4 linked regions of the Oreochromis niloticus genome follow. The protein of the gene in region 4 interacts with the protein of the main gene of each other region in a pairwise test. Links are inferred from orthologs where the notes say so. Each region holds a gene or a part of one and is shown on either strand. Other genes may lie near its edges.

Evidence for each region.
Region 1: the proteins of prkab2 (region 4) and ubxn11 interact in binary tests that used the Homo sapiens proteins (3 or more experiments, as listed by UniProt). The link is inferred for Oreochromis niloticus from reciprocal best matches to the Homo sapiens genes PRKAB2 and UBXN11.
Region 2: the proteins of prkab2 (region 4) and pias2 interact in binary tests that used the Homo sapiens proteins (3 or more experiments, as listed by UniProt). The link is inferred for Oreochromis niloticus from reciprocal best matches to the Homo sapiens genes PRKAB2 and PIAS2.
Region 3: the proteins of prkab2 (region 4) and banp interact in binary tests that used the Homo sapiens proteins (3 or more experiments, as listed by UniProt). The link is inferred for Oreochromis niloticus from reciprocal best matches to the Homo sapiens genes PRKAB2 and BANP.

What each region holds. Positions count from the first base shown.
Region 1 is NC_031976.2:7,542,484-7,550,186, forward strand, and holds the start of ubxn11 (UBX domain-containing protein 11), read right to left. Parts: upstream 3,006-7,703; 5' UTR 2,706-3,005; coding exon 2,635-2,705; intron 2,533-2,634; coding exon 2,492-2,532; intron 2,124-2,491; coding exon 2,028-2,123; intron 1,915-2,027; coding exon 1,814-1,914; intron 1,721-1,813; coding exon 1,669-1,720; intron 1,588-1,668; coding exon 1,508-1,587; intron 1,427-1,507; coding exon 1,360-1,426; intron 1,267-1,359; coding exon 1,049-1,266; intron 960-1,048; coding exon 882-959; intron 809-881; coding exon 685-808; intron 596-684; coding exon 492-595; intron 26-491; coding exon of another isoform or gene 1-25. Other genes in the region: fez2a (fasciculation and elongation protein zeta-2), read left to right, coding at 4,720-5,060, 6,362-6,470, 6,661-6,777, 6,940-7,072, 7,166-7,431, 7,597-7,677. UniProt on the Homo sapiens protein: May be involved in the reorganization of actin cytoskeleton mediated by RND1, RND2 and RND3. Promotes RHOA activation mediated by GNA12 and GNA13.
Region 2 is NC_031977.2:829,200-836,580, reverse strand, and holds the start of pias2 (E3 SUMO-protein ligase PIAS2), read right to left. Parts: upstream 3,004-7,381; 5' UTR 2,721-3,003; intron 1-2,720. Other genes in the region: ube2l3b (ubiquitin-conjugating enzyme E2 L3b), read left to right, coding at 6,156-6,182. UniProt on the Homo sapiens protein: Functions as an E3-type small ubiquitin-like modifier (SUMO) ligase, stabilizing the interaction between UBE2I and the substrate, and as a SUMO-tethering factor.
Region 3 is NC_031972.2:56,893,383-56,900,522, reverse strand, and holds the start of banp (protein BANP), read right to left. Parts: upstream 3,022-7,140; 5' UTR 2,753-3,021; intron 1-2,752. UniProt on the Homo sapiens protein: Controls V(D)J recombination during T-cell development by repressing T-cell receptor (TCR) beta enhancer function. Binds to scaffold/matrix attachment region beta (S/MARbeta), an ATC-rich DNA sequence located upstream of the TCR beta enhancer.
Region 4 is NC_031982.2:13,490,081-13,497,324, forward strand, and holds the start of prkab2 (5'-AMP-activated protein kinase subunit beta-2), read right to left. Parts: upstream 3,018-7,244; 5' UTR 2,899-3,017; exon of another isoform or gene 2,693-2,898; intron 1,422-2,692; 5' UTR 1,397-1,421; coding exon 1,238-1,396; intron 1,122-1,237; coding exon 964-1,121; intron 811-963; coding exon 717-810; intron 390-716; coding exon 275-389; intron 1-274. Other genes in the region: calcium-binding mitochondrial carrier protein SCaMC-1, read right to left, coding at 5,622-5,803, 6,991-7,141. UniProt on the Homo sapiens protein: Non-catalytic subunit of AMP-activated protein kinase (AMPK), an energy sensor protein kinase that plays a key role in regulating cellular energy metabolism.

The sequences.
Region 1 (7,703 bases), on a different chromosome or scaffold from region 4:
TGGTCTGCAGCTTTGTAGTCCATTCCTGTGCAGGATGGTAATCTGGTGATTATCTTCTTTGAGACTATAATTCACGACTCGAGTAAGTCTAAACGGATTTCTTTTATCTTTGGTAGCATGCTTTCTCGGGTGACAGCTCAAACCCTTGAAGTTTTTATTGGAGTTTTTATTGGAAGCTAACTCTCAGTTTTAACTTCTTAGCTTCGAGCATTACAACGTTAAAGCACATCATTGCACAGCAGTAGTGCCTGCTATGGTTTTTCAGGGAACTAATAATACTAATCCTGGTAATCTGAAATAGTAATAATAATTGATGCTTTGTAAAGAAAAATACAATGTTTACAAATGTTATGTTAAAAATTCCTTGCTCTGTTTAAAAAAGCACTCAAGAAAATGTTGACAAAGCTTTTAAACTTCTTAGGGTGGCTGGTAATTTTGTCCTCATCTGTATATCTGTACAAACAGATCATTGCTGCTTCTCTATGACTCACCTGCAGCTTTGCCCTCAGCGAGTTCCTGATATCAATCACTCGGCCGGCCTTCACCACCAACTTCGGCAGCTTGTTCAGGAACTGATCCGTGGTCATCTTCTTGCCTTTGAATCAGAAGAAAACATGAGAATGACAGCAAAGTCTCTGAGGATCTGCACCGTGGCTTTGATCAGGGTGACGTTTGCAGACAGACCGGGTAAGTGAGAGCTCAGCGCGCTTGCTGATTCATCTTTGTCCCCACAAACAGGCTGTCCTTCACCAGGAAACGTTTCCCATGGGAGCCTAGAGTTGAATTCCTCGTAACGCCTGTCATGAAGCTGCAAAGAGAATTTCTGTGAAGACACTCAATTGTTCCCAAAAACAAAATAAGAAGAAGAAACTGAGACTCACCTCAAAAGGTACACCATCTGGAAATCTTTCTTGAAGCTCAGATGGAAAATAGCCATCCATTAGATCTTGCATGCACTGCTGCAGGGACCAAGAGTTGATGACTTTTAACCAAGGAAAGATTCCAGTTTAATATAGACTTTGATTTTCCTATTTTCAGTGTAGCTAACCTGGGTGCTGTGCTCCTGATATGAGCGGAAAGGACCATCAAACATTACAATGCCATTCCTGTAGAGCCTCAGTGGAATGGGATCCTTTTTAGCCAGCTGTGCTCCTGTCGCTGTCATTTGCACAAAAGACTCTCCTTCCCCTGCGAGGACGTTCAGTTCTCTGATCCTCTGCAGCACGAGATCAAAGTTTATGTGGAAGCCTCTGCTACCAGAAGTCTCTGAAGAAGAGAACAAAACAAAACAAAAACAGCACAGCTTTAAGATACAAAAGACACGAAGGGATTGCAGGTCTGCGGGACTGGTGGATCTACCTCGCTCTGCAGGATCACCAGTGTCTGTATCTCCCACCCAGATCAAACCATAATCGTTCAGAAAGTCCTGCAACAACGACAGCAGCTCAGTGAAACCTCCACACTGATAGAATCACAGTCTCATACTTTATGGACACACCTTACTCACCTCCATCTCATGCACTTGATTTTGCAGTTGTTGGCACCGGCTTTCGAGATCATCTCTGCTCCTCGGGTCATGCATGCTTCCTAAATCCACACAATCATGAAATCGCTTTGATCGACCAAACATAAATCGAACTCAAGTCTGTGCCTGCTGTAGATAATTACCTGACTTCTCCTGAGCCCTCAGCTTCTCCTCTAAATCTGAAATCTGTTTATCCTTGGGAGGAATGACGAAACCATAAAGTGAGGTTTAAACATGTTTAAAGATGGCTGGCAGTTTTGGTATTCGTTGAAGTGGTTGCATGCTCACTTTGCGCTCTATCTCCTTTGCCTGGCTCCTCACTGTTTTCTCCAGGAGGGTCACTCGCTGCACCATGGCAGACATGAGGTCAAAGTTGGTCGGAGGACACCCTGAAAACCAGCAGTTAAGTATTAGAAAAATAAAACGTATAATCATTTTGTATGTGATAAATAAAAAAAGATATATTCGACACTGGAATGGGAAGCATTGTGTTAATGCCTACCTTTCTTTAATGGAGCTCCCGTATTTGAGGTGGAGGCTTCGTTGGGTGGAGTGTGAGAGTAATCAGAAGACTCATCGGCCAATTCAGCCTCAAATTCTAAAAACAAAAACTATCATGGTTATAAAAGTTGTTTTGTTATTTTTTCAACTGAAAAAGTTACCTGAGAAACTTGTGATCAGTTTCTCCAATAAGATACAATTATTATTATTTGGAACTCGTCAAATGTGAGGATGTGCTGCATTTTGCTCATCACAGTTTAAGTTATTTATGTTGTGGACACATGAATACTGTTAGATCTCCACACACTTTTAATCACGGTGTGACTAAAGTGTAGACTTTCAGCTTTAATTTAAGGGGTTTAAAAGAAAAGTAGTTCTAGTTCTAGCTGGGATGTATTTATTTATTCTGTATTTGTACTTTACTGAATTTGCAGTGCTGCTGGTGGTCTGTGAGTGCATCGTTACCTTTCAGCAGATTCCTCCTTAAAGGAACTTTTGATTTGCTCCTGCAGGTCGAAGAAAATTAAGTGTGGCGACATGATTGATACGTTTATTTTTCACAATAAAACTACAGTCCAGTTTCTACCTGTGTGGAGTTAATCACCTACCCTTGCTCTTTGTGAGCGCCCTGCAGAGGAGTGCGTTTGGTTTTCTTTAGCATCGACAAAGGAGAGCTCATTTTAAATCCAAAGCCTGAATATCCCACACTTATTTCTTCTTTGGACTTCTTTCTGTTCAGAGAATGAACTATAACAGAGGTTCAGAGGGATTTCCGGTGTTTTCTCAGTTTGTGTGGAGTCCGTTTCCAGTAGCAACAATGTAACGTACTAAGTGAAATCTGCAGAAGTGTCTGTTTCACCCAGAGGAGGTCGCTCTTTCTGTCCTTACTTTAAAATTCTACTACCTCTGTTTCATAAGAAAAAAATTATAAAATGTAGACGTTTACATTATAAACGTTCTAAAAATGAAATACAAATAAAGAAATGATCATTTCATTTCCAAACTAAGTGATTAGTTTTTTGGGGGGGGGTTTTATGTGAGAAGTCATAAATATTTAATGTTTTATTCATCATTATAAGATGCATTATGAAATGTAAGCACTGGTGATGTCATGTTGGGAAACTAATGAGACAGAAAAACAAAACAAAAAAGCCTTTTTTTTTTTCATTTAAGATAAACGAACATTGATGAGTGGTGTTTCCTAACTTTGCCTTTACTGTTTAGATGCCGTTAACCATGGATACGCAGAAATTATGACGGCATCAACTAATCTTTGCCATAACTACCTGGTGGGCAGATTGATCAAAATATCGATACCAAAGCTTGTATTGGTATCAGATCGACACTAGCGCATTAGATTGATACTTTTTTGCCCTATCCTCTAAGTTCAGTATGGAGCCCACTCAATTTTGGGGTGGAGGGAAAAGAAAAAATAAAAACACTTTTTCTGTTGACTGCCACATTTATTTTATTTATAACCTATAGTACAGAAGTTGGTCCAAAGCCCTTTAGAGACAGGCACATTTACATCACAGATCTCCAAAATAAAAGGTTTTGTTGTGCAAACAAATTACTGTGGAAAATAATTAGTGGTTTAGTGATCATCTGTGCCTTTAATGCACATTATTAGTCATATTTAAAGCACATATTCAACTGGATACACAATAAAATAGTACCTTCATAAGCAATCTAATTACTTGTATAACCTAAGAATAATTCAGTGTCTAAGAATAATTCAGAATTAATAACCACAGTTTTCAGGTTAATACACCAGTTTACACTTTAATTATGAAACCTGAGACAAAGGCTTAATCATGTTGACCAGAATCCTCCGAAGTAAGTTTGTTTCAGTATTGTTTACACCATTGTTTCAGTCTCTTAACCACATAAATGCTGTCCATGGTATATTAAGCAATTAAAAACGTCACACTGGCGCTCCATACATCTGGATTAAATAGAAACTCGTAATAGAGTTTCTTTTATATGACAGTTTTTTAATTCATAGTCCTTCTGTTATTGTGTTATTGTGCAGAATCTAACAGGATATCAACTGTATAATACCCAACTTACTTTTCGTTAAACGAAAAATGTAAGGAGTAGAACATTTTTAAAAATGTAATAAAAGTAAAAGGTAGTCAGAAAAAATTACTCTAGCAAAGTACAGACACCTGAAAATTGTACTTAAGTACAGTTACAAGGTATTTATACTTCATTAGCTAACGTTTTTGGTGCTATTCAGAGTAAATACACATAATCTTCACACTTTACGTAACAACAACGACCCTGAACAGTTTGCACTTATGTGTGTTTTGAATCTTCAATACTGAACTGTGTCACGAAATTACCTCTTCATCTTCTTTTTGAAGACAGTCTCATTTTTCAGGGGAGCTTGAATACGCACACACACACACACACACCACCACCACCACCTCAAAAAGGGTATAAACTCGCCATTGTATAGGGTCAGTAGTGATAAATGATCATGATGCGTTTTTATTGCTTTTAACAATCACGTTGTTGTTCAGACCCCACGTCACCGTGACCTGTTTATATTCCGCGTCTCGCCGCTAGTCGGCCCGGCGCAGGCTCGCTGTGGGCAGTGAGCGGGCAGACAGGGAGGATGCGGAGGCCTGCCAGTCCCACAACAACAACACATCTATCATCCACCCGGGGCGACTAGGCCGGTCCGGGCTATGGCTGCACCTATAGCACATTTCGACGACGACTGGCCGAACCTGGGTGATCCGAGCATAGTGTCAGAGGAAGGGCTGCTGCCGCAGAAAGGCCGTGTCACCGCCGCCGCCGTGAGCGAAGCGGCGCCCCAGTCGCTCCTGTTTGGCGGTGATGATGATGATGATGTTCTGCACGACAGCAGCTTCTCCCCTAGAGAGAACGCGGGGTTCCGGTCTATGGAGGATCTGGTGAACGATTTCGATGAGAAGTTAACCACGTGCTTCCAAAATTTTGACGCCAAGACGGAGAGCATCGCTCCCGTGGCCGTGATCGCCGAGGACACGCTGCTGGAGAAAGACGAGTGAGTCCACGGCCTGTCTACGGCAGGCTGCGTGTTTCCCATCCAGTGCGCATGTGGAGGCTCCAATACAGTTTAAAAAACACGGAAAGACATGTTGGGAACATTTAAAATAGGAAGTAATGGCATCGTCATATCATCTGTTGTCAAGATAAACGGAGTAATCTTTAATTCAGATTAATCTTATGTGCCCTATATTAAAGATCGATATTGGCCTATACTCAGTTTTATTTTTAACTCATTTCTAAAATCAACATTTTTGTGATATTTTTAACATTGCAGCTTTTTGCAAGAGATATATTTGTTTCAAAATAACTGCTATATTATATTTAAAGTTGGTTAAAGTAATTTATCAGGTATGCATTAATAATAATAATTTCATATTAGGGTAGGCTGCTGGTTATTTAAAAAGTCACCTTGGGCATTTTCCTTTTTACCACACTTAGGAGTTGGGGATTGTTTTAAACCCCCCAGTGTTCATTCCAAAAACATTTACAGCCAGTTTCCCAACCTATTCATAAACTGAAAGGGGAAAAAAAAAATCAACGTTTTCAGTTTCACACTAGACTTAATCCATGTCTGGGAAACTGAGCCTTAAAGTGTTAAACTGAAAAGAAATGGGAGGTCAGGGGGTGGAAAAATCCTCAATAAATCCTAAATAGGAAACATGAAACTCTACTTAAGTGCTCCATCAGGAGGCATGATGCTGCAGCTCTGGGTGTAAGTGGCACTTTTTAAACGTCATCATCTGTGGTATTTTCAACCTGATAAGCTGTGTAGGGGATTATACTTTTAACCTTGGCATCAGACCTGCTTAATCTGATTGTTATGTTTTTAGATGCGGCATTAAAAAAGTATTTCTGTGGTGCCTGCAGTCAGTACCAACGTCCTTGCTGCTAACATAGGTTTGTTTTTAGTAAAAAAAAAAATATCGCTAAAGGGGAATTCCAGGAATGCTGTGATTATCTCAAGTGCTGCAAACAGGAGAACTGTTGCTATTGTTGGTAATGATTAAAAATGAGAAAATAATCTTTAAAAATGCAAAGAAAAGATGAAGCAGATCCTAATATGTACCTCAGGAAGATGTAGTTTTATTCTCAAATTATAATTACCCTCATTCTTTTTGCAGTTCATATGTTTATTTTGATTGATTTCAACCTTGACATACTTAGTTTGTAACACAGATCCTAAGATGTTTACAGTCATCAGATCCAGGCTTAGACCCCATTGGCAACATGTTCAGGCAGCTGCAAATGAAATCCGCAGAGTATGTGGTTTGTAATGAAAGTCTCGTGTCCCCTCAGAATCTGGAACACTTTGACGGCTAACTACGGACATGTGATGCCCGTGGACTGGAAACGTTCTCGAACGCACGCCCTCCACGTTCCCGCAATCAACCTGGAGGAGAAACCCGTGAGTGATTCCACCTCTTCTGGCCCATCCCATCCTATCTCTGTCTCATTTTTCCCTTCATCACACCACCCGGCTCCCCTCCCTCCAATGCCAAATCCCTCCTCCGGTCATCTCGCAAATCTCAAATATTCATTGTGCCAGGGTTTAGTGCTTTGATTAAATTCCCTCCTCCTGCTCCGTTCCTGGTTAGAGAAAGGCAGATGTTGTGTTGGAGCTGTCAGACGATGAGGAGCTCAGGGATCAGCTAGACATGCACTCCATCATTGTCTCCTGCATCGCAGAGGAGCCCCTTTTCACAGCAGAGCAGGTACGTTACACACCCTGTCAGAATCCAGCATAGTTCACCCCAGAAGCAGCCACACTGGGTCAAGCCTGTATAGGCAGAGCTTAACATGGCTGAAATCTTTTCCACAGATGTTTAATAACTCGTGCTCGATGGGTTATTTTAAGAGCTGGCTCTTTTATGCAGGTTATCGAGGAGATAGAGGAAATGATGCAGGACTCTCCTGACATGGAGGCAGAACATAATCCATCACAGTCGGACCTGTCAATGCTCTCTGTGGACGTCCAGCAGCCCAACAGCTGCTCTGACTACGAGGAGAGTGAGTGTCTGCTGATCAGAACAGTGTGTTATGATGGGTTATTTTGTTGCATTTTATGTAAGTAATTTAAGGGAATATGCTTTGGTGGTCCAGGGATGGAGGCCCTGAGCATTGCAGAGCTGAATGAGTGTCTGGAGGAGACTGAAATGAAGATCAGGAGGTTTTCAGAGGAGCTGGTTCAGCAGCTGGCTCTTAGGGATGAGCTGGACTTTGAGAAAGAGGTGAAGAACAGTTTCATCTCAGCCCTCATCGACGTGCAGAACCGGCAGAAGGAGTACCGCGAGGCGCTCAAGAAGAAGAAGAAGCTTAAAGGTGGAGCTGGGAAATCGCAAGGTCTTCCAGAGAAAACACTTGGATCGGTGAGTACTTTAACTTTACAGCCAGGTTTTAAGGACTTATCACCAGTCCCGAGGTGTTGGTAGAGTGAAAGAGTGGTCTTTCTTTTCTAGTGTCTGCTGTATTTACTGTATTTCTGCTCTCTCTGGTAATCTTTTTTTCCTTTGCTTTTCTTCCTTCCTTGTCAGCGCTTCAGCATGGAGGGGATCTCCTCTGTTATCCAAAACAGTTTCCGTCAAACTTTTGGGAGCAGGTGCAGTGAGAGACAGGTTACTGTGCTTTTCCTCTTCTCTCT
Region 2 (7,381 bases), on a different chromosome or scaffold from region 4:
GCAGAGGGACGGGAGCTGATCAGGATATAACAAATCTCATATATACTACTCATAACATTACTTTCATGTTACTCTGTAAAATGATCTGAACACTGTCTCATAATCACAGTTTAACAATATAAGCTGAGGCTACAGCCCCACACACCAACACAGGTCCTATCCTGATGAGGACACACGTGATCTTTCTCTGAGTGTTTATGTATGAGCACAAGTCAAAGAGGAAACCAGCACAAAGACACTTCAAAGTGATTCTACTGCAGAAACATGATCAGGTAGAAACCTGCAGCCTGACTGCTCATCAGTTGTTTGCAAAGAGCTGAAGTTGTGTTAACAGTGTGATTCTGTCCTGGAGCAGTCTCCACTTTATGCTCTCATCCTTTTGTGCAACAAAAATAAAAGTCATGTCCGCGCTGCAGACTGTGCTGCTGTGTTCCTCCTCCAACACACAAACTGAAATCAGCTGATCGTAGCGAGGGTGCAAGAACTGATAACTGGGATCTATAGGCAGACAGACTAACGATTCCAAGGAATCCTCGTTTCCCATCCCTAGAGGCAGGTGACATCCACACAGTAATTGTCTTTTTTCTGTTTGTTAAACATGCTGATCATCCTTCATCTAGTCTCCCGTTTAAAACACATTCTTACAAAATCTACTGGAATCCATCAGTGTCTCCCCTCAAATCTATGGTATCAACTTTAAAACATCCTACATCACCTCGTCCTCAAGTTATCACATTCCCAAGAGTCCCAGATAACGTACTCTGACCTTTAGGTCGAGGTCACCGAGGTCGGAACTCATTACAAGATGTTGAGTAGATACACTTATGGTACAAAATGAAAATGCTACGTCGCTTCATTCTGTAGGTCTTCCATTCACACACTTTGGTGTCCCGCCCACCCGATGGGATGACAACAATACCCTACCAGCCTTTTTTTTTCTTTTAAAGTAAGGTCACGTGATATTTTGTGTGGCAACACTAACTCCATCGATACAGACAGGCCACAGGTCAATAGGATGCTGAATTCACTCCCTGCTCTCACACATGATCTCCAGACCTGCATCCACCTCTTCCCTCTGAGCCCCCCCCCCCCCCCCCAAACACACAAACTCTGACCCACCACCATCACCCTTTCATTGACTGCCCCACTCCCACTGCACACGAACTTGCCCACAATCACTATGATTGTGTGGGACACCGCTGTTTAAATAATTGTGTAGTATTGTATTGTGTTGTACATAAGATTTTTTATTTTATTTTATTTTGTTTTTATTTCCTTTTCTATCTTTGTATGTTTAGTGTACACTGGGGGCCATGGGAGCACTGCAATTCCAAATTCCTGTGTACAACTGTACATATGATCTTTGACAATAAAGCTGACTTTGACTACTAAATGAGCGGGCCCATCTCACCTGAGGCAACCTTTGTGGACACACCTGCTTAGACTGACTGTGTCACTCAAACAGGTTGTTAAAGGTTAAAGGTCTAATTTATAAATGCAGGCAGATTTCCAAAGAATGAGTCTTTATCAACAAGGACAACTCAAAGGGATTCGACTGAGCAGGCTGCCAGCTGCTCTGGTTATAAGAAGGCTTCACAGCAGTAATAAGCAGTAATATCTTCATATGAATTTGTCTCTACGTGACAACAACATGTTATAGTGATTTATCACAGCTGCTGTATCATCAGGAATAATTTCAAACTTGACCTCATATAGTCACAGACTAACTCTGATGGCAACATTTATGACAGATACAGTGTTGGTGTGTTTGACAAAACTCAAACTATCTGACTGAATTAAACGGATTTGATGAAGTTTAACTTTGAGGATTTAATTTGCAAGATGACAAATGTCAAAGTTTATTATTACAATGTGGATTTGTTATATGTTTGAACTGAAAACTAGAGCGAAACAAAAGTACTTCAATCGTGTATTTCATTGTGTTTTTAATGAATCCATTTGAACTTTTAAAAACCAGACACGTTTAAATGTTTGTCGCTCTGAATGAAAGTCACAGACGGAGAAAACAAACACAACTGATTCTACAACACAACATACACACATGATACACAACAACACAGCACGGCCAAGTGTCCATCTTAGTTTTTCCTTTGTCCTTTATCTGATCTGGGATCTTGTTTCAGTGTCACGTCCACGGTGAGTGAACCCACGACAGTGTGATGATCACATACAGACGCGGTGGCTGAGCGCTGGGTCAGGAATATTTAACACGACATGAAAACAGAGTTTCTGTAATCTCGTTACTAATAAAATAAAAAAACGGATGTTTTAACATGTTTGTATACATCGTGTTTAACTCACAGCCTCGCGATAACTTTTGGCTAATCGGGTGCATGTAGTTTTTTCGATTAGCAGTTTGGTTTAAGTTTCCCACAGAAACTATTTATTATGTTTATTACACCATACCTCACACTCATGATGTCTGCCACATACAACACGTACGTGCATTAAGACCGTGTGCGGACTTTAGAGGCATTCAGTTATAATAACAGCTGTTTGTTGGGAGCTAGCAGTGACTGGCTAGCCTGTGTTAGCATCAGGGCTACATAGTGAAACGTCCACGATCCCCGTGACTACGCTCATCCCTGCCTGTGGGCGCCCACCTCGCCCATCGCTCACCCAAACACACATCAGCTGTTTTCTTCGTTACAAGCTTCAACGTCAACACGAGTGACAGGTTGTGTTTTGTTTTCGCCTACCCGAAACACCACAGTCCTCGCCATCTTGTTGTTCCGGTCAGTGTGATCACTTCCAGGTGAAGCTACAGTGCGGTTCACTTTACAGCAGCTACAAGGAAACTCACAGTGAAGCCGTGTCACGACAACCACGCGAGTCTGAAAACTGCTGTTGTTTAACATGTGTTAGGAAATGGTCCCACAGCACGTGTCAAATCCTCGCTAATTTATATAGATTAAGAGAGTGAGACAGAGCTCTTTAAGGCCACCGAAGCAGGATGTACCACAGAGCTCATATGGGTCCCACTGTGGGCCCCTGGGACAGACTGGGTACAGCCTGCCGTGGGTACAGCCTGTGTGGGTACTGCTGCCGTGTCAAATGTGGCGCATTGCTATGGAGCTAAATTGGGATCCAAAGCTTTATTCATCTGGAAAAGTGATTTCCATCTGTTTTTGATATTTAAAAAGTAAAACAAAAAACAAACAAACAGATGAATTATTTTGAATAAATTATCTGTTTTCGTGCGAATCTGTTTTGTGTTGTTGTTTTTTTACAACTTTAATTTTTCTTCTTTTTTTTTATCAGTTTCGGATCTTTAGGCCGTGATTTTGTGTTGTGGGCGTGTTTCAAGGGCGGGGCGTAGAGTGACAGCTGGAGCAGCATTGGATGGTAGGCTGGAGGACGACTTTAGAAATCAAGAAATCAAGTGAAGGCAGAAGCAAGGATGCAATGGTAGTCTAAGGAGCTTGGAAAGAAAAGCGTCTGGACTTCTTTAAGTTGCTTGAAGACGTTTCACCTCTCACCCGAGAAGCTTCTTCAGTTCTAAGGGTCAATGGCCGAGAGTCCCAGATTTAAACCCAGTGGGAGTTTCCCCCCAAAGAGGGACAAAGGACCCCCCTGATGATCCTCTAATCACCTGAGCCAAGGTGTGAAGAAGCTGAGAGGTGAAACGTCTTCAAGCAACTCAAAGAAGTCCAGACGCTTTTCTTTCCAAGCTCCTTAGACTACGATGACCTGGATGACTGAGAACCTTCACAGACAGATGCAATGGTAGGAAATGAAGATGCTGCACAGATTTCAGGGCAGAGCTGAGACAGGCTCCGAGTGGCAGCAAACATGACTGGGACAGTACAGCTATAGGCTGAAGGAACCTGTCATGAAGGTGATGGGTGTATCCTCCAGAGGAAAGAGGCAGAGACTTGGTGGAGGGATGAGGAAGTGCAGAAAATATTAAAAGGAAGAGATTACCAAAGAGATTGGCAAATAAAAGTGGGACAGGAGGTGCAAAAAACAGTCAGGAGTACTGGGAAACTAGGCGAACAGGAAAGACAGGCAAAGGAAAAGCCTTATAGTGAGCTGTATGTGAAGAAGGAGGGAAAGAACAGTGCCGAGTGGCTACACGCTGACAGATGGAGCTGAAAAGGATTTGCAGCAGCTGGAGATAATTAGGGACAGGAATGGAGATGTGCTAACAGGTGATGGGAGTGTGCAGAAAATGAGAGATCGAGGAGCACAGATGGAGGACAGTGAGTGAGTCAGGAAGTGACTTAGGAAGGAGGAGGGAAGGGCAGCTATGAAGAGGATGAGGAGTGGAAAGGCAGCTGGTCCAGGTGACACACCTGTGGAGGTATGGAGATGTCTGAGAGGGAGCAGTGGACTTCTCAACCTTACTGTTTAACATGCGGGGTCATGTCTACTTGTAAGAGGACTCTCCCACAGTCATAATGTCAGACATACTGAATATGCTTACACGTTTCATGTTTGCAAACCTCATTGGGTACACATGACAATGTTACTTTTAAAAGCCATGTATGACCTAATGTAGTGTTAGGAATGATTCAGAGTGAAGACTCGTTAGTTACCAAACCAAAGCTCGGTCGTGTTCACCAGAACTCTCCACAGTAGGCTTACAGCAGAGCAGTAAGAAGAGAATCACAGCATCATTTCAATCTGTTGACCAAATAACGAAGAAATCCTTGATGATTTTCCTCCTAACGTGCACATTTGCAGACCTTCTTCTTCCTGCCGTCCTCAGTCCTGTGTTGATGCAAGTGTCCAGGTATTTCTGACTGTTCCAGGTTTCATGTCTGTAGTTTTAGGGAAAGAAAGGAGTTTCTTTTTTGGTTAATGTTTTGTTATCGGCCATAATGAATGACATACATTTGTCAAAATCTAGTTTTGCGTCTGGTCGTCTGTGTTTGGGTCACCATTGTCACTCCACACGCTGTGGCACTGCAGACGATCAACATAATCTATAATACTTTCTATAAGAGCAGGTTTGTGGTCCACACACACTGATCAGTTCTATAAAATCATCATCAGTGAAACAGAAGCTTCCCTGGTGTGTATTATTTTTCACTACGTGTCAGATCTTGCCCTGTTTTTCGCTCTGTCTCTTTCTCACCCTCTCTGTCCTGCTCTCTCAGTGCTGTCACAGCAAAGTGTAACAGTGAAACAGAATTTACAACCACATAAACAGCATAAATCCATCTATATCCATTTACAGGCATATTGACAGACTCAATGCCACCAGGATCCAGAGCTGTGATCTGATTAGAAAACTTTAACAAACTCAGATAATAAAGTACATCAGCTGCTCAGCTGGTAACTAGCAAAATGCCATCAGACTAAAGTTAATTAATAATTTCTAATAACACAGTCTACATATGTTTATAAATAAGGCGCGACGATGCAGTCTGAATATTCAAACTGAAGGTGGACTACTGCTTTTCAATTTTCAGGTACAAGGATGACCTGCAGAGCTACATCATCCTGTACTGAGAGAGACGATGGTCATTCTACAGCAGGGTGGTGCAGCACATCCATGTGTGCAGTGGGAGTGACAGAGGGCTCAGAGTGGGGGGCCAAATCAGAAACGTGCTCTGAGCTCCTACTTGTTTGCAGTGCTGATGGACAGATTCACAGATGTTCATATGGAGCAGGTGGAGGCACGCTTTAGAATGAAAGTGCAGGGAGGACATGAATTTACACATGATATTAAAGTAGAAACATGAACTCAAATAAAACTTTATTGTTGAAAGTATTACGCAAGCACATGGAAAACCTTTTTGCTCTCTGCCATCCACATGACTGTTGAATGAGCCATTTACAACAGACTGACAGCAGAGCTGAGGGTTAAACAAGCAGACTCATACAGGTGTAACTCATGGTGCGTTTTCAGGTGTCCACATGCGAACACCTGCATTAATAATAAAAAATAAAACTCGTGTGAAGCGGACACAGCTGAGTTCAGGTCTCCTCCTGCGGCTCCGGCTCACAGCCCAACATGTTTGTAACGTATATAATTACAGATATTCCGCATTTAAACACATCGCTTCCTGTCGTGGACACGTCGGGATGTTCACAAACAGGCGGATGTCCAACCTGATCAGCCTCAGCGCAGGAACAGACCCATATTCCCAGCGCAGTGAATTCTGGGAACACACAGTAGTTTCAAGATGGCGGCGAGCAGGAGGCTGGCCAAGGTAAATCTGTCGTTGCCGTTCTTTTTGATCGTTTCTAATGTTTAAGGACGTATTGACGGTTAGTGCACGCGTCCGTCCTTTGGCTCGTGTTCACGTTACAGAGTATATTTGCACTAAGTGACCGTCAGTGTCCAGCTGTAGCTGTAGGCTCAACAGAAACAAGAGGTCAGCATTGACCACCTAGCCGACCAAATATTAACGTTAGGCAACTAAGCAGTCGCAAATCAGGCCGGAGGATCTACAGGGATCCTGCCCGGGGCTGCCAAAAACCTCATTCAAGTCTCTTATCTACAGTTTGAACGTCGGAAACACTTGAGTTGTGTGACAGAGGGAGTCAATCCGGCAGTGGGCAGCCCAAGATCGTGTCAATTTCCACGGCATAAGACGTTTGCTAATCAGCTAAGTTGCTATCCCCAGATCTCAGCTAGCTACACTTCAACTTAATCAGACTTTGAAGTTCGCCATTAGGAAGTGGGTGTGGGTGAACTACAGCGCAGCGTTACACTTCCAGTAATGCGGCCTGAAGGCGACACACACTAAATGCTACTTTCGTTTTGTGTAGTGGTCGTAGCATATTGCGTAAGGTCCGCGTTAACCTACGTTTGTTTCCGTGATTATCGTTTCTGCCTTTAAACGCACACTCCGCTGAATGACTGCTGTTACAGGAGGCTGTGTGTTGGAAGTTTTACCCGGAGTAACAAAGCTGGCCTCTGAGCTGTAACCGGCTCACTGATACGGGTGTAATGATTCAATGCGAACATGCAGATTAACAATAACAGGATTTCATTCATGAGAAACAAACGTCGGTGCTGTTGGACCATAAACAGGGCATACGCTGTTTATTAATCATAATCACGTTAGCCTAAAAACGTATTAGACTCATTTACACCGTCGAGCTGTGCAACAAAAAACTGTCACAGATGGAACCACGTCGGCGAGGCTGGCTCTAAGCGCCAGGTCAGAATGTGACACTCACTGGGTGGGTTTCAGCTAACAGCTAACATAATCTAATGTAAGTCAAACTAGTGACAGAACCAGTAACCTGATGGAAAACTAGCAGGTTCACTGTGGTACTGCTGGATGCAGGTTGTAGTTTAAAAACTTGAGGACATACTGCACACTTTCACTTTCACTGTTGGCCTGCTGCACTGAAATGAAAGAGAAACGCTCCTGTTAGCTGTAAGGGTTGGGTTTGTTTA
Region 3 (7,140 bases), on a different chromosome or scaffold from region 4:
TTTCAGAAAAAGACATTTGTGACATTTATCTTTTACATGAAGTTTGAAGTTTTCATAACACCTACTATGTTTGTATCTGATGTTCTACAATTTATGCTCAAATGTTTGGCTGGGTACGTTTGGGTGTGTGCTGTTAAAATTATTATAATGTTATTAAAGTATTGACCTTAGCAGTATTTGTGTTGTGTGCGCCCCAAAGTTTATTTTTGTTATGTAATCTCAAACGTCCTCTTCCATCAAGTGTATCTTTATATAATAACTATACTGCTATGATAACCACTCTGTTATTAATAGGACAACTTTAAAAGTTCTCTCCTCCAGTACAAACATTTGAAATGTTTAGTTAAGTTTGATCTTTTCTTGTCCTCACACAGCAACTCCATATCCTTAAACCAAGTACAACTCTGGACTGAATAACAAAAGATAGATCTCTACTTAAATGCCTGTGTCCTGAGTAACACTGCAAAGTGGCAGTGACTACAACAGAATATTAGCAACACATTAAAACAATAGAATAGAACTGAATTCAACTTTATTGTCATTGCACATGTCACAAGTACAAGGCAACAAAATGCAGTTTGCATCCATCCAGAACGTGCTTTAGCAGAAAACAGAAAAGCAGTACTGTTGATCATTTTAATAATAAAGTTGTGGAAATGTGGAGATTATCATTGTTGTTTCAAGACAAACTGCCATGTTTTCTATACCCTGTACAAAATCCCTTGTTTAGATGAGTTAGTGAAACAAATTAATCAGCCCTTCTGTGATACAACATACACCCTCTTTATTGGACAAGAGTGAAACCATTGATAACCTTACATCTGTCCATTACCAGTCATTTAATTTTGTACAAACCCACTCTTCCTAGTTTGTGTCTTTTTCTGTCTGACCAGATGCATCTTTCTGCATCATCTTTTCGACTTATCACCTTATAGTTATCAGGAAATGAGAAATCATATCCTTCCTTCTTACTAAAACTGATTCTTAAGTACGATTTCACTAACTCAGAGGGTATAGCAACTGTGGCGGTTTGTTTTGAAGCAACAACTGTAATCGCCACATTTAAAAAAAAAAAAAATTCCTTACAATAGTATTTTGACTTTAATCTCAAAGCAATTGAGAATATATTTTTTCTTAATGTGGTCCTAATACTTATACATACTCCAAGTTAGGATTACACTTTTAATAAGCTACCTTTACACAACAAATAATTGACAAAGTAACTGCCACAAAACTGTCAAATTCAGTCACCCAATAAAGATCTAACACTTGCACACTCCAAACTAATTTACTTTTTCAAGTTGCAGTAGAGTATTTGCAACCTTTGATCCCTGTATCAGTCCACTTGAATACATGAACTAAGTTGTCCTGTTTTGAGCCTGTATGTATAGCCAAATATTGAAAAAAATTCTGTATTATTCACCAGATTTTAGCTGCTGCTTTTCATTTGTTGCATTGCTTTATTTGCCTAAGTTCAGTTTCCCTACTCTTTGTGTCAAAACTGCACAATTGCTTTAGTGATTTGTCCACATTTTGGAAAGAAAATGTTGCAGCAGTAATACAAATGCTAACACCAACACATTTTTAGCGCACTTGTGGAACTTTTTAAAAAAAAATCTATTACTCCAAAAATGCACAGCACCTCAATTAAAATGTGTGAGAGAAGGACCCATCCATTGCAAATACAAGGCTTATATCCTCATAACAGCCACGAATAAACTAACAATCATGTTGTGTGTATGAGAAATTATATCCAGAGTCATAATCTTGCAGCTTTGTCTTCCTGATTCATTTCCTCGTTTTCCAAACATGGCAAAAAAGCATAGATGCATGAGGAAAAATTACAATAATAATCAAAGTACGACATTTTATGTGGGCTCGGCTCTACGTAGCTTACAAAAGCATCGATGGCAGCTTAAGAGTAATAGTTTGTGACATTACTTTAAATAAAAAAACGAATAATAAATGTGTGCTTTGTCCTTAAACTTACACAAAGGAAACTTTGTTACTGGAGACACATACCATTTATATAAGGGGGTTTATCTGAATGGTATGCCCAACATAAAATGAGCGATAATCAGTTTTAGAGTAGCCCAACTAAATTAAGCCCTATGTAAAACGGTCTGAAATTGCAAAAGCTCCTGGCGCTTTTTTTTAAGCGCAACCGTTACCTGTGATAGTGGCTAGCTATAAGGAAACACAGCTGTTTCAGACCATTTTCTTTAGACTTTAGCTGCTTAGCCTAGATTACTACAGTTTGCTACAAATATAAAGAAAAAGCACGGAGCTGGTAAACGTCTACTAGCCCAACTAACGAGCTTTAGATTGGTTAGTTAACTGGGCGGGGGTCTGACGATGCTAAATACAGGCGAATAAACGGAGGAAAACAAACTTGGAGCATCAATTTGTTATGCATTTATGTAATGCGACTAGACATGCGGTGCAAAACTACTGTACTACGGATATTTAATTTATTTTTCACTAGTTAATTAGCGTCACCAAAATCATAACTAGCAGCTAATGTTAGCTGCCGCTACAAAATCGGATTTGAAAGCTTGCATGCTAACTTAAAGGAGACGCTATTTAAGCTAGCGTGGTAGTTAGCATGCTAGTTGGGCATGTAGGCCTTTGAAGCGTAATGCAAGATTCGTTTAATGCTGAAGCAACCGTTAAATTAATTGTGATTTTGATGCAGCTTCTCTTCTCATTCTCGCACACAACACATGTACCGTGTAAGATTGGGTTATATTACCGTGTGAATGGTGAATTCTCGTGTTGTTTGTAGAGTTTCCGATAATGGCGTCGTTCCTCGCGAGAGATGAGACCTTGCCTTCGTGTGCTTCACACACGGAGGTTTCCTCAACGCTCATTCAAGGGAGCTCAGTCTGCAGGAGACCGCTCGTCACCGCTGCAGACGCCAGTCACAGACTGCACGACTGCTTCTTTTCAAGCTGTTTTATCTAAATCTGAAAAAAGCCGACATCCATTAAATTGTACAGTTTATTCGACATCATCATAATACCGCATGATAATAACTGCGCCAAAGCACAGTATCTTAATAAAGCCTCTGTGGCAAGCAGCGAGATTGCATAAACGGATAACATGTTTGTTTAACCCTGTATTTTTTAACCGTCCAGTAAACGTTTCTTACATTCATTGTAATCCAACTCCTCAGGGTTGTTTGTTATCTTGATTTAATCCAAGCCTTTGTTTGCATCCGTAGATACCTTAGAGTATATATTACTGTATTTTAGTATTTTTGTTTCCCAGTGATTGGAGCAAATGGGTTTATTTTCCTCTACATTATTTACCCTCTTATGTAGATGATTTGGCACAAGATATTAAGCAGCCCACTAACTATTGTTCACAATGTAAATGACTCTGATGTTTATTTCTGAGACAGATAATTAGCAAAATGATAATATACAACAACCAAAAAGGAAATTCAACTGAAACATTACAAAATCCAAGGTCAGCTGAAGCGCAAGTGTATTTTTATCAAGCGTTTTACATGTACTTGTTTGGTCTTCAGTGAACATATAGAGGAGTTTATTATAATCAAATAAACACGTTAACAATAGAGGAAGATTAATACATGCAAAATGTTGCAGGATAAGGAAGAATAACTTAATATATTACAAATAATATATTTTATTTTATGTATTAATATCATAGAATATGCCAATATCTAGTATAGAGCATATTGCTTTGCATTAAAATGTAACTCTCTCAAGGAATGAAAACAACAGCTGTGGTGAAGAGGTGATGAGTGCTACAAGTAAAAGCAGCAAATGACCAGCAGGTGGAGCCACTGGCAGGCTCAGTCCATCTTTCAGCTAGGCAGGGATTTGACACACTGTTTTTAGGCATCTTTGTGTTCCACTGGGTAATAAAAGAATAAGAAAATGCAGCAGATAGTATGTTATTACACTCACTAAATTAAGTGTCTATTAACTCTCCACAAGTGGTTGCACTGTTCATTATTAAGAGCTGTATAGGTAGAGCTAGATAGCATTATTTAAAAGGACTCAGGTTCAGTTCGTAGTACTAATTGTAATGCAGAAGGGCTGTGCCTGACTGGAATTCATGTCGGCCTAAAATATATTAAAAATAACATATTCTTATATGCACACCAGTGTGCTACCATGGGAGAATTTCCTGCCATACATCTCCTCTGATATGTCTAAAAAAGACTTTCCTCATTCAACCTGGTAAGTTTAGATTCATATGCCTAGGAAGAGGTGTCAGTTTCCAGTAGTCACGATGAAAAATATTAGATCTTTCATACTGCTGTGTAAGGTTAACCTACTGTCACTCGTCTAATCAGAACTTGGAGTGCAAAAAGCAGAGAGGATATTTTGGTAGCGTATGGGGATGTTTGAGTTGCTTTCTGGTGTTTTCTGTTGAAAACAGTATGCACTATACATGGTTTACTCATTTCCCTTCCTTTTTCTTATTTTATTGTTAAATGTCTACTGTTTGTTTTTTTGGTTTATTTCAGAGTTATTTTATGAATATAATCCCTTGTTTTATTCATTGTTTGGGCCTCCTTGATTTTCCTCTTCATGTCCTAGTCCATTTAGAGCAGGGGTGGGCAATTCCAGGCCCCGAGGGCCGGTGTCCCTGCAGGTTTTAGATCTCACCTTGGGTCAACACACCTGAATCACATGATTAGTTCGTTACCAGGCCTCTGGAGAAGATAATTTAGCCATTTAAATCAGCTGTGTTGGTTCAAGGACAAATGTAAAACCTGCAGGGACACCGGCCCTCGGTGCCCACCCCTGATTTAGAGAATGACAACATTTCAGAGGGTCAGAAAGAGAACAGGAAACAGATTTACTGTATGAGCAAGTACTTCTTTGTGTTGCTGTTGTCTCCAGTGATTACTATTATGAGTGTTGCTGCCAGAATGTTCATTGTTTAGCCTTCATTGACTGCTGCTTTTGACATGGTTAACCACAACATTCTTCTATCAAGATTGGAACATGTTGTTGGTCTCAAAGGTACGGTTTTAACTTGGTTTAAATCCTACCTCTCAGAGAGGTCGTTCTCTGTTGCTATGGGGCAACACTCCTTGGCTTCTGCCCCTATTTATTGTGGTGTGCCTCAAGGGTCCGTGCTCGGTCCTGCTCTTTTCTCTTTGTACATGTTGCCGTTGGGATTAATCTTTAGAAAATACAACATCTCCTTTCACTGTTATGCTGATGATATCCAGATTTATTCACCTTTGAAATCCGATGTGTCTGCTTCTTTGCAACCTCTATTCAACTGTTTGCATGAAGTTAAAATTTGGTTATCACATAATTTTCTTACATTGAATGAGAATAAGACCGAAATCATAGTCTTTGGTAGTCACACTCCGCTAGACCAGTTAGCTGATGCCCTAGGCCCTCTCGCTAGCCATCTCTCGCTCACCGTAAGAAACCTTGGAGTGTTCCTGGATGGCTCTTTTAAACTTGAGAAACAGGTCTCCACTGTGGTAAAAAACAGCTTTTGCCAGTTGCGTCAGATATCTAAAGCAAAGCCCTTCCTTCCTTTAAAGGACCTTGAAAAGCTTATCTACGCATTTATCACATCCAGATTGGACTACTGTAACTCCCTCTACTCGGGCCTCCAACACTCTTCTCTTTACCGGCTTCAGTTAATTCAAAATGCAGCTGCGCGTCTTTTAACAGGTACGAGAATCTATGAACGCATAACTCCAATTTTAGCCAAATTACATTGGCTCCCTGTTAAATATCGCATAGATTTTAAAATTCTTTTGTTTACTTTTAAAATTCGGAATAATTTAGCGCCCAGCTATCTTTCTGATCTACTCCACTTATACAATCCCAACAGAGCACTTAGATCGTCCAATCACAGGTTCCTAGCACAACCTAGGTCTCGAATGAAGTCGAGAGGTGACCGGGCCTTTGCAACTGTGCCACCTAGACTGTGGGATAACCTCCCTGTTCATATTCGTACTGCCGAGTCTATCCAGTCTTTTAAATCACGTCTTAAAACTTATCTTTTTACTTTGGCTTTTGATTCTAACTAGTTGGCTGTTCTACCTTGTTGTGTTGTTACCTATTGTTTGTTGTCCTGTTTTATTGTTTGTTTTAATTGTCTCATGCTTTTACTGACTGTGAAGCACTATGGTCAACACTGTTGTTTTAATATGTGCTATATAAATAAATTTTGATTTGATTTGATTCATTAAATGTGGAGACACTCACCCATCTTTCTTAGAAAAGACAAGTGTCTTCCCAGCTGTGTCATTTTTTCCCTTTATTCTTTTTTGGCCTCTTGTTACTCTTGTTTTCAGAGTAATCCTTGGTGGAGATATCTGTTGGGTGTAGGCATTTCAGAGCCCCAGCTGTTGAGGTTTAACCTTTCAAAATACCTCTAATCCAGCAAGCTCTAGAACAGAGGTTCCCAAAGTGTGGGGCCCGCCCCCTAGGGGGGGCGCAGAGCCATTGCGGGGGGCGGTATGAAAAGAGAAAAAAAAAAAAAAAAGAGTCCTTGGACACTGTGGACAGGTTTTTGACGGGGCTCCGAACGCAAAGCAGGAGATGAAGCATCGCCAAATATGTTTCCAAACCAACTTCCTTCCAAGCCAAAGACTAGAAAATATGGTGAAGCATATCTTCCCTTTGGCTTCACAAGTGCCAAGGTAGGTCTCCCCTGCAAAATTAGTTTCCCTGTGTCGGGAGCACGAGCTGGGCTCTCCAAATCACGGACAAACAGTATCCCACATTCTTGATTTTTAGTTCACAAACACTTCTTGTAATAACTAACTACTCCTGACATTTTGGACATGTTAGCTCTTTATGCAGTAAAGTTACAGTGGGATACAAATAATATCAGGCTGATCCTGCCGTAATTTGTTCCCCCGGTTCAAATCACGGACAAACAATATCCCACAGCTGTTTTTGTTTTTGAACCCATTTTGCACAGAGAGGCATTTTTTGAAAAATTTATTGATAGCAATGTTGAATATTATTACACAGGAAAAAAAACAACTACACGTAAAATAATCACACCGTGAGCCTCGGCCTTTCTAAATGGAGGGACAGTAACTGCGTGTGTATGTAAGCGTGTAAAACCTGAAGATAGTCAGATTAACAGTAACAGTATTTTGTCTCTATCTGCCATTCTGCA
Region 4 (7,244 bases):
ATTTCACATACATACTTTACTCTATGCAGCTACTGACCAATTAACCACTAACAACAACAACAATAAAAAAGCTGTATTCTTTATTGTTGTATGTATTTCGGCGTTTATTATTCAACTCCTTTCCTGGGAGCTGTATTAAGACATAAATTGCTGGGACTGTTAGTGCAAGGTCAGGAAAGGCATGCTGCAATATGACAAGGCACTTTCCAGTTACTATTTACACAAGGTGATTACCTTTAGTTGACTAAATAACTCAATAACAGAGCAGGCTGACCTGACGTGTCGGAGCACTCCAAAGAGTCGACCTGAAGGGCGTCAAACACCTCAAAGTCAGACTTTTTCACATGGATCAAGTTGTTGATAGTTCCCATCTGGCTGGTTACCACCGGCTGCCAAAAAGGAGAGAGAAATCATCACAGAGGAAATGAGGAAGCATGTGTAAAATTAGCAGTTTCCTGCACATCTTTCCCTAAGGCTAAAGAGCTATTTAGCGGCTTTCACCAAATAGAAGGGCTTTTCAAAGCTTTACAGTCCCTCTGAGGTTTCACTGTCCACATTTTGTGAGGATAACACAATATAAGATTGATGAAATTTAAATCCTAAATTTCCACAAAGGAATGTGTCCCTTCCTTTTTGTACTATCAGAGGTCTCTGCATCATCCCAAATGCAGTGTGCATTAATAAGTTAATGGGGGAAAAAAATGAAGCTACTGTACCTCTGATGGATCATGCACCCACTGTCCATCTACAAAAAACTTGTACTGGTGCTCTCCTTCGGGCAGGTCCAGAATTGCCACAAAATCATTATGGCTTAGGAGAGAGGAGGAGAATGTATTAGTGCGATATCAGAAACATTTATTTACAAACTCTCAAGCTACATAATGACCACAGCTTTACTGTGGTCATTATGTTCATTACTAGATAATGAACATGATAACGTACCGTTATCAACTTCCTGTTTACCTTTTATTTAGTGGTATCTTTGTGTTCCAGTTATTAAAAGAACCAGCTATGTAGACCTCCTTCCCACCTCCGGCCCAGCGGATCACAGTGGGGCGAGCCTGAGGACCAGTTTTAACCAGATCATCCAAATCTGGGGTGAATTCTTTCTCTCCTGATGCCTGAAAGTAGTAAACATATGAATCTCAAATATAAGCTGTTTTGACCAAATAATGCTTTCAAATCTGAGGACGACAAATTTGTTTCTATATTATAATCTGTATTTATCTATGCGTACCTTCGATTCAGGTCCATGTGTGTTGAAGGTGTTGGGGTCATCTGTGCTGTCCACCATCTTGCTGCTGGGTTCTTGGTCTTTGGAACCGCTGCCGCTGTCTGTGCGATGGGCCTTGGCGCCATGTCGATCTCCGGCCACTCTGTCACTTGTGTTGCCCATGGTGCTTCACTTTTTTGCAGTGCCACTGGAAATAAAGGACAATCCATTATGTGTTTAAGCATAAAGCAAGATCTTTCAGAAGCAAGAAAAAGACTTGAAGAGACAAACAGACTGTAGGCATCAGATCAGCACTAGACATCTTAATAGTTCGTGGTAATCTCCTGTTTTTTCCCCATTATAAATTTTATACATCTGATAAGGATGAAAGTTTGTTTATGAAGCACGAAGACCCCCCCAGGTTTTCTGGTTCTTCATTTTTAGCTGTTCAACAAACAGCTAAAAAGTGACGGTACTTTCTCTTTTTAAAATTTGACTAAAAATGTAACTAAAACCTTTTAATCTATCATTTTACAGCTTAGTATTGTTATTTTTTAAGTTCATTTTTAATTTTATTCCATGTTAAACATTTTACTGATGGTCAGTATTTCTTTTTTATATTTGTTATGAGCTTTTTTGTGTTATTACAATCAGTCAGTAGAAAAATATATATATATTTTTTTAATCCAGTTTTTAATGTCTTAGAAACTTTTCATTTTATATATATATGTATATATATATATGGAAAAAAGGCTGAATATATATATATATATATATATATATATATATATATATATATATCTATATCTATATACATATATATACATACTATACACACACACACACACACATATGTATATATGTATCTATATCTATCTATCTATCTATATATAAAATTTAAGAGATCTGCATCAATACAAACCTCTAGATGCTACTGACAACACATTAAAAACAGGATATGACAATGAAGATGTCTTGAATACACACCATAGTCGAACTCCATTTATCCAACAAGACAATACATCACAGAAAGAAGCTGAGGCTGACCACAAGCTCTTGTGATATATGTTTAAATACAAACTGAACCTGTTATATGAAACTATTTGTTTAGCATGACAAACACCATCGTAACACGATGAGCAGCAGCCTGACTCAGGCAAAAAAGCTAAACGCCTTTCCAGTAGGGCTAACTGGCTTACCGGTCGGTAGACGGATAAAGCCAGACAGGTGAAACAGGGACTGCCTTCTGGCCGTGTGTCTGGACTTGAATCAAAAACCGCTTAACGTAAATACAATCATGCTTTCAGACATAACGTAGTAAGAAAGTCTCCGTTAGTTAACGCCCACTAGCTAAGCTAGCGCCAAATCAACAAGTTTTAACTACAGACCTTAAAATAACATACACACATACATAGATACACAATTTTGCCATTAGTAATTAATCATGAGTACTCGTACAGCTTGCTGACTGAAACCTACCGTAGTTTCCCCACCAGCTGTTCAGCTGTGTCCACCTCAGGTCACTTCGCAGGAGAATATTTTTAGCCGCTGTTGGGAGTTAAAGTTAGCTAACTGCTAGCTGTCACTGTCTACAAACAAACGACCAAGCTGTTTGCTCTGTTTACCTGCGCCGCAACAAACACTAGTTTTTCACCATTAGGTTTTGACAGACAGGAAAAACTCACCGACACCCTCCACCTATCTGCACACTGACTTCAGTTTGTGTTTTAGCAGAGGGCGGGCCCACCTCTCCACAACAACTGCAGAGAGCTCAGTGCTGCCCCGACTACGGAAACCGGTTAAGACAAAAACTGTTCAAATAAGCGAAAAAAAAAGGCTGAAGGTCGCGGTCACCAGCAAGGAAACATCTGTCACAAAAACAGCCTGGCCACAAAATAAAGAAGGTTAAGAGACACCCGCAAGGAACTAAAGTAAAATAAATAGTATTTTACGACTGACTGCATAGTTAAATAAACATAGTAAGTAATAAGCATGTAATGTGATCCCAGTGAATATACAGCATTGTGCAAATCATCTCTCACCTATTTATATTTCCCTTCCAAGGAGCCAGACTTTATAGTAATTTTTTACAGTGTTCTTCAGCAGCAGTTCCCCAGGTTTTCTGAAGATGTTTCAGTTTAATTTTTTTTGACATGCTTTTTCACTTATTTTCAGTCCAATCTTTTCAAAGGAATGTTTTTTTTTAAATTGTTTTATTATTATTATTACTTTTATTATTATTTATGATGCCTACTATCAAACGTTTAATAATAAATGTGGTTTGTATAGTATGTCTATACCCCCTGAGGACCCAGCTTCCAAAAATCCTGGGGTATTAACATATCCCCAAGTTGTTTACTTGGGGATATGTTGATGGTCAGAGCTGTTTTGTTGGCATTAGGGAAGCCTGCTCACTAGGTTTTAATGTTGTGGCTAATCACTGTATATACAGGTGTTGTCAAAAATGTCACAAATGAGAGATTTTTTTTCTCCAGCAGGCATTTAACTTGTCCATGTGGGCAGTTTCATTTGAGCTTGAAAATATGGATTATGGAGCAGGGGCTTCTCTCAGTCCTTGGTGATGTAAACTCACTTCAATGTGGACATGACTGTGTTCCAGGAGTTTAAGTTCGTGGCAGGATTGAGCCTTGGTGGTTCCTGAACATCCTAACCATTTTCCTCTCATCTGACAGTGACAATTTGGGTCTTCTTCTAAACTTTGGCAAATGGATGACACATCCAAACAACTTGTACAAGGAACCAGATATCTGGACCTGCAATTGTTTAGAAATCTGCAGCTGTTTAGACGTGGTTCCAAGAGACCTTTCCAACTTGTGTAAATCTACAATTCTCCTTCTAAGCTCTTTCCTGAGTTCTTTAAACGTTCCCGTTGTTCAGAGTATTGATCAGAGTATTGATCAATCCAGTGAGTGTTGAAAAACAAATCCTTTTTACCAGTTGTAGTTAATCATGATCACTAACAAGAACTTAACAGGTTTTGACCATGCCAAGTTCAACGTCATTGTAGAACCTTCAGCATCACTTATTAAAGATTTAAGTGAGTACATGTACATCTTCAGGCTTGTATGCATATTTTTAAAGCTGTGTGGATTAGCAAGAATCCAAAATTCAACTGTAAACATGTTTTCCCTTCCCTCCTAATTTTGGAGGATTTAATTTGTTATAGAAAAAAATGCACACAGAAATTTCAATCAAAAATACAAAGCTGATGCAAAAATGTTTTCAGTTTTTGTATTTCCGTTTCATCTCCTTCTTCATAGATGCTAACCGGATGGAAGTTCAATATCCTTACTGACACCAACACAAAGTTTAAGTTCTGTGTGGAAACAAATCCACAGGTTTTGTCTTTATTGACCACTTGGCAAAGATTTCAACACATCAGACCGATTTTCCAACCAGTGATCCTTACATTACTGAGGAGGCAATATCAGCATTCAAGCCTCCCTGGAAGGACCAAGTTTCACCAGCTAATAAATCAAGACTAGTTTCAAGCTCAGAAAATGCCACATAAACTAAACACAGAAGATTGTTATCATGCATGCTACATCTAAACTCCATCCACTTGGCTGTGTGAAAGAGAATGAAACAAATGAATGAATGTTAACTGTAGCAGGAATGTGTTGTGCGTATGTACTAGGTTGAAATGAGGATTGAAACATGACAAACACATGCTTCTTGCAAGTATTTTTCATCGTTGAATCCCATAAATAAGCATAACTGGAAACATATATACAGTAATATGTATAGTTATAAAACACATCTTCTGATGTTATCATCAGATTTACACCCAGATAAGGCACATTTCAATCGTTATCAAACAGAGAGATCAGTGGTTTTCACATTGCACAAGATGTGTGTCTTCATTCACACACTGTTCCAGTGTTAACAAGTATTCGTTTGTCCAAGCCAGCTATTTTTAGTGGACAGCTGCTGATTGGAGAATGGTTTGTTTGGAACCGCTGTCACTTAGGGCAGGTGTTTACAAAATCATGTATACAGTGCATAGACATGTGAAAAGTTCAGCTGACATAGCGTCATCTTTCAAACAAAGGAAACGCACAACGCTATGTCACGTATTTGTTTCATCACAGTTTAAAGGAATATCCGTGGCATAAATGAAACGAGCCATTACACTTAACACGTTTTAGTGTTTTTCCAGAACTGTCTTTTTGTGTGTAAATAACGCAAGTAAATGCAGGAAGAATGGTATGTTTTACAGTAAGAAAAAAAAATTTGACCATGCATACCACAAATTATTAATTAACTACTGGCAGACGGCTCTTAAAACATGCACTGTATGGTTGATCGCCATCTGTCTTTTTGGAGTTATTTCAGGCATTTTCAAGTCTGACATATAAAGTAAACTTTTTCTTTTTTTTTTGCAGTATCATTTGGAGATCCCTAAGCCACTCTTCATATACTCATAAACGACGTAGCTAATGCTGACTGCAGGAATGACTTTCATGAAGTTCGGCAGGATGCCCCGGTAGAGTCCAAAAACACCATCTTTGGCTACAATCTTCTTCATCAGAGAACTCATAGAAGGCTGGTTTGATGGTTCCAGAGATGCTGTAAAGAAATATAAGCTATGTTAGAGAACCAATTAAAAAGCAAAAAATAAACTCACTGGCCACTTTGTTAGGTACATCTGCTCAACTGACTTAATGCAAATATGTAATCAGCCAGTCACATAACAGCAACTCAACGTATTTAGACGTGTAGTCATGGTCAGTTCAAACTGAGAATCGTTTAAGTGACTTTGATCGTGGATGGTTGTTTTTGTCAGACAGGCTGGTCTGAGCATTTCAGAAACTATTGATCTGCTGGAATTTTCCCACACAGTCATCTCTAGGGTTAGAATAGATTTTCAGAGAATAGTCTGAAAAAGCGAAAACATCCAGTGAGTGCCAGTTCTCTTGGTGAAAATGCCTTGTTGATGTTAGATAACATGTAAGCATGGATCCATCCTGTCTTGTATCAAACAGTTCAGGCTGCTGGTAGTGTAATGGTAGAAGAGATACTTTTTTTTAGCACACGTGGGGTCCTTTAGTACCAATTGAGCATTGTTTAGGCACAAAAGCCTACCTTAGTATTGTTGCTAATCATGTCCATCCCTTTATGACCATAGTGTACCATCTTCTGATGGTTAATTCCAACAGGATAAAACCCCATTATCACAAAACTCAGACCATCTCAAACTGAGATTTTGAACATGACAATGAGTTCACTGTTCCTCAAATGGCCTCCACAATCACCAGATCTCAATCTAAGTGGAGAGTCACATCGTGGATGCCAGTATGAACCAAGGATTGTCTCTGAGGAATTTTTCCAGCACCTTGCTGAATCTATGCCAAGAAGAATCCAACCTGATAATAGCAATATGTAACTAATAAAGTGGCCAATGAATGTAGTGGTCCATAACAGCCAACATTTTTGTCTATTAGTCTCTTTACTCATATAACACTGATTTGTCAGTTTGTGAGACCATGACCCTGTCTAAATGTTACATTCAAAAAACAACTTTCATCTCAAAGTGAACAACGTTAAAGAGGAATGCCCTTTTTCAGATGGAGCCCCTTGACATTACGTGGGCTGTAACACAAGTATATATTTACAGAAAACATGGATCACATTTACAGAACCTTTACACCATCACATGCATCCCGCCCACCTTGAAAAATATTATGCTATTATTATGTAACGAAGGGGCTACCTAGTTATGTCATTACTGTTTTCAAATATCAGGCTGTGTTTACCTTGTGCTTGCATCCGAGTGCGCACAAGTGCGAGTGGATAGCTTGCCAGCTGGCCACAGGTACTAGAGATGGTCCCACAGCCCAGCAACACCAGCACTCCAGGGTTGGCTGAGTCAGTGGCGTAATGTGCCAACCAAGTGTTCTTTAGAGTCTGGAGAGTTATGACAAGAGAAGGGAAAATTGAGGTAATGTGCAAAATCAGCATAACACAAAAATTTCTCTCATTTAATTTAATGTAACTCTGCACGATGGAT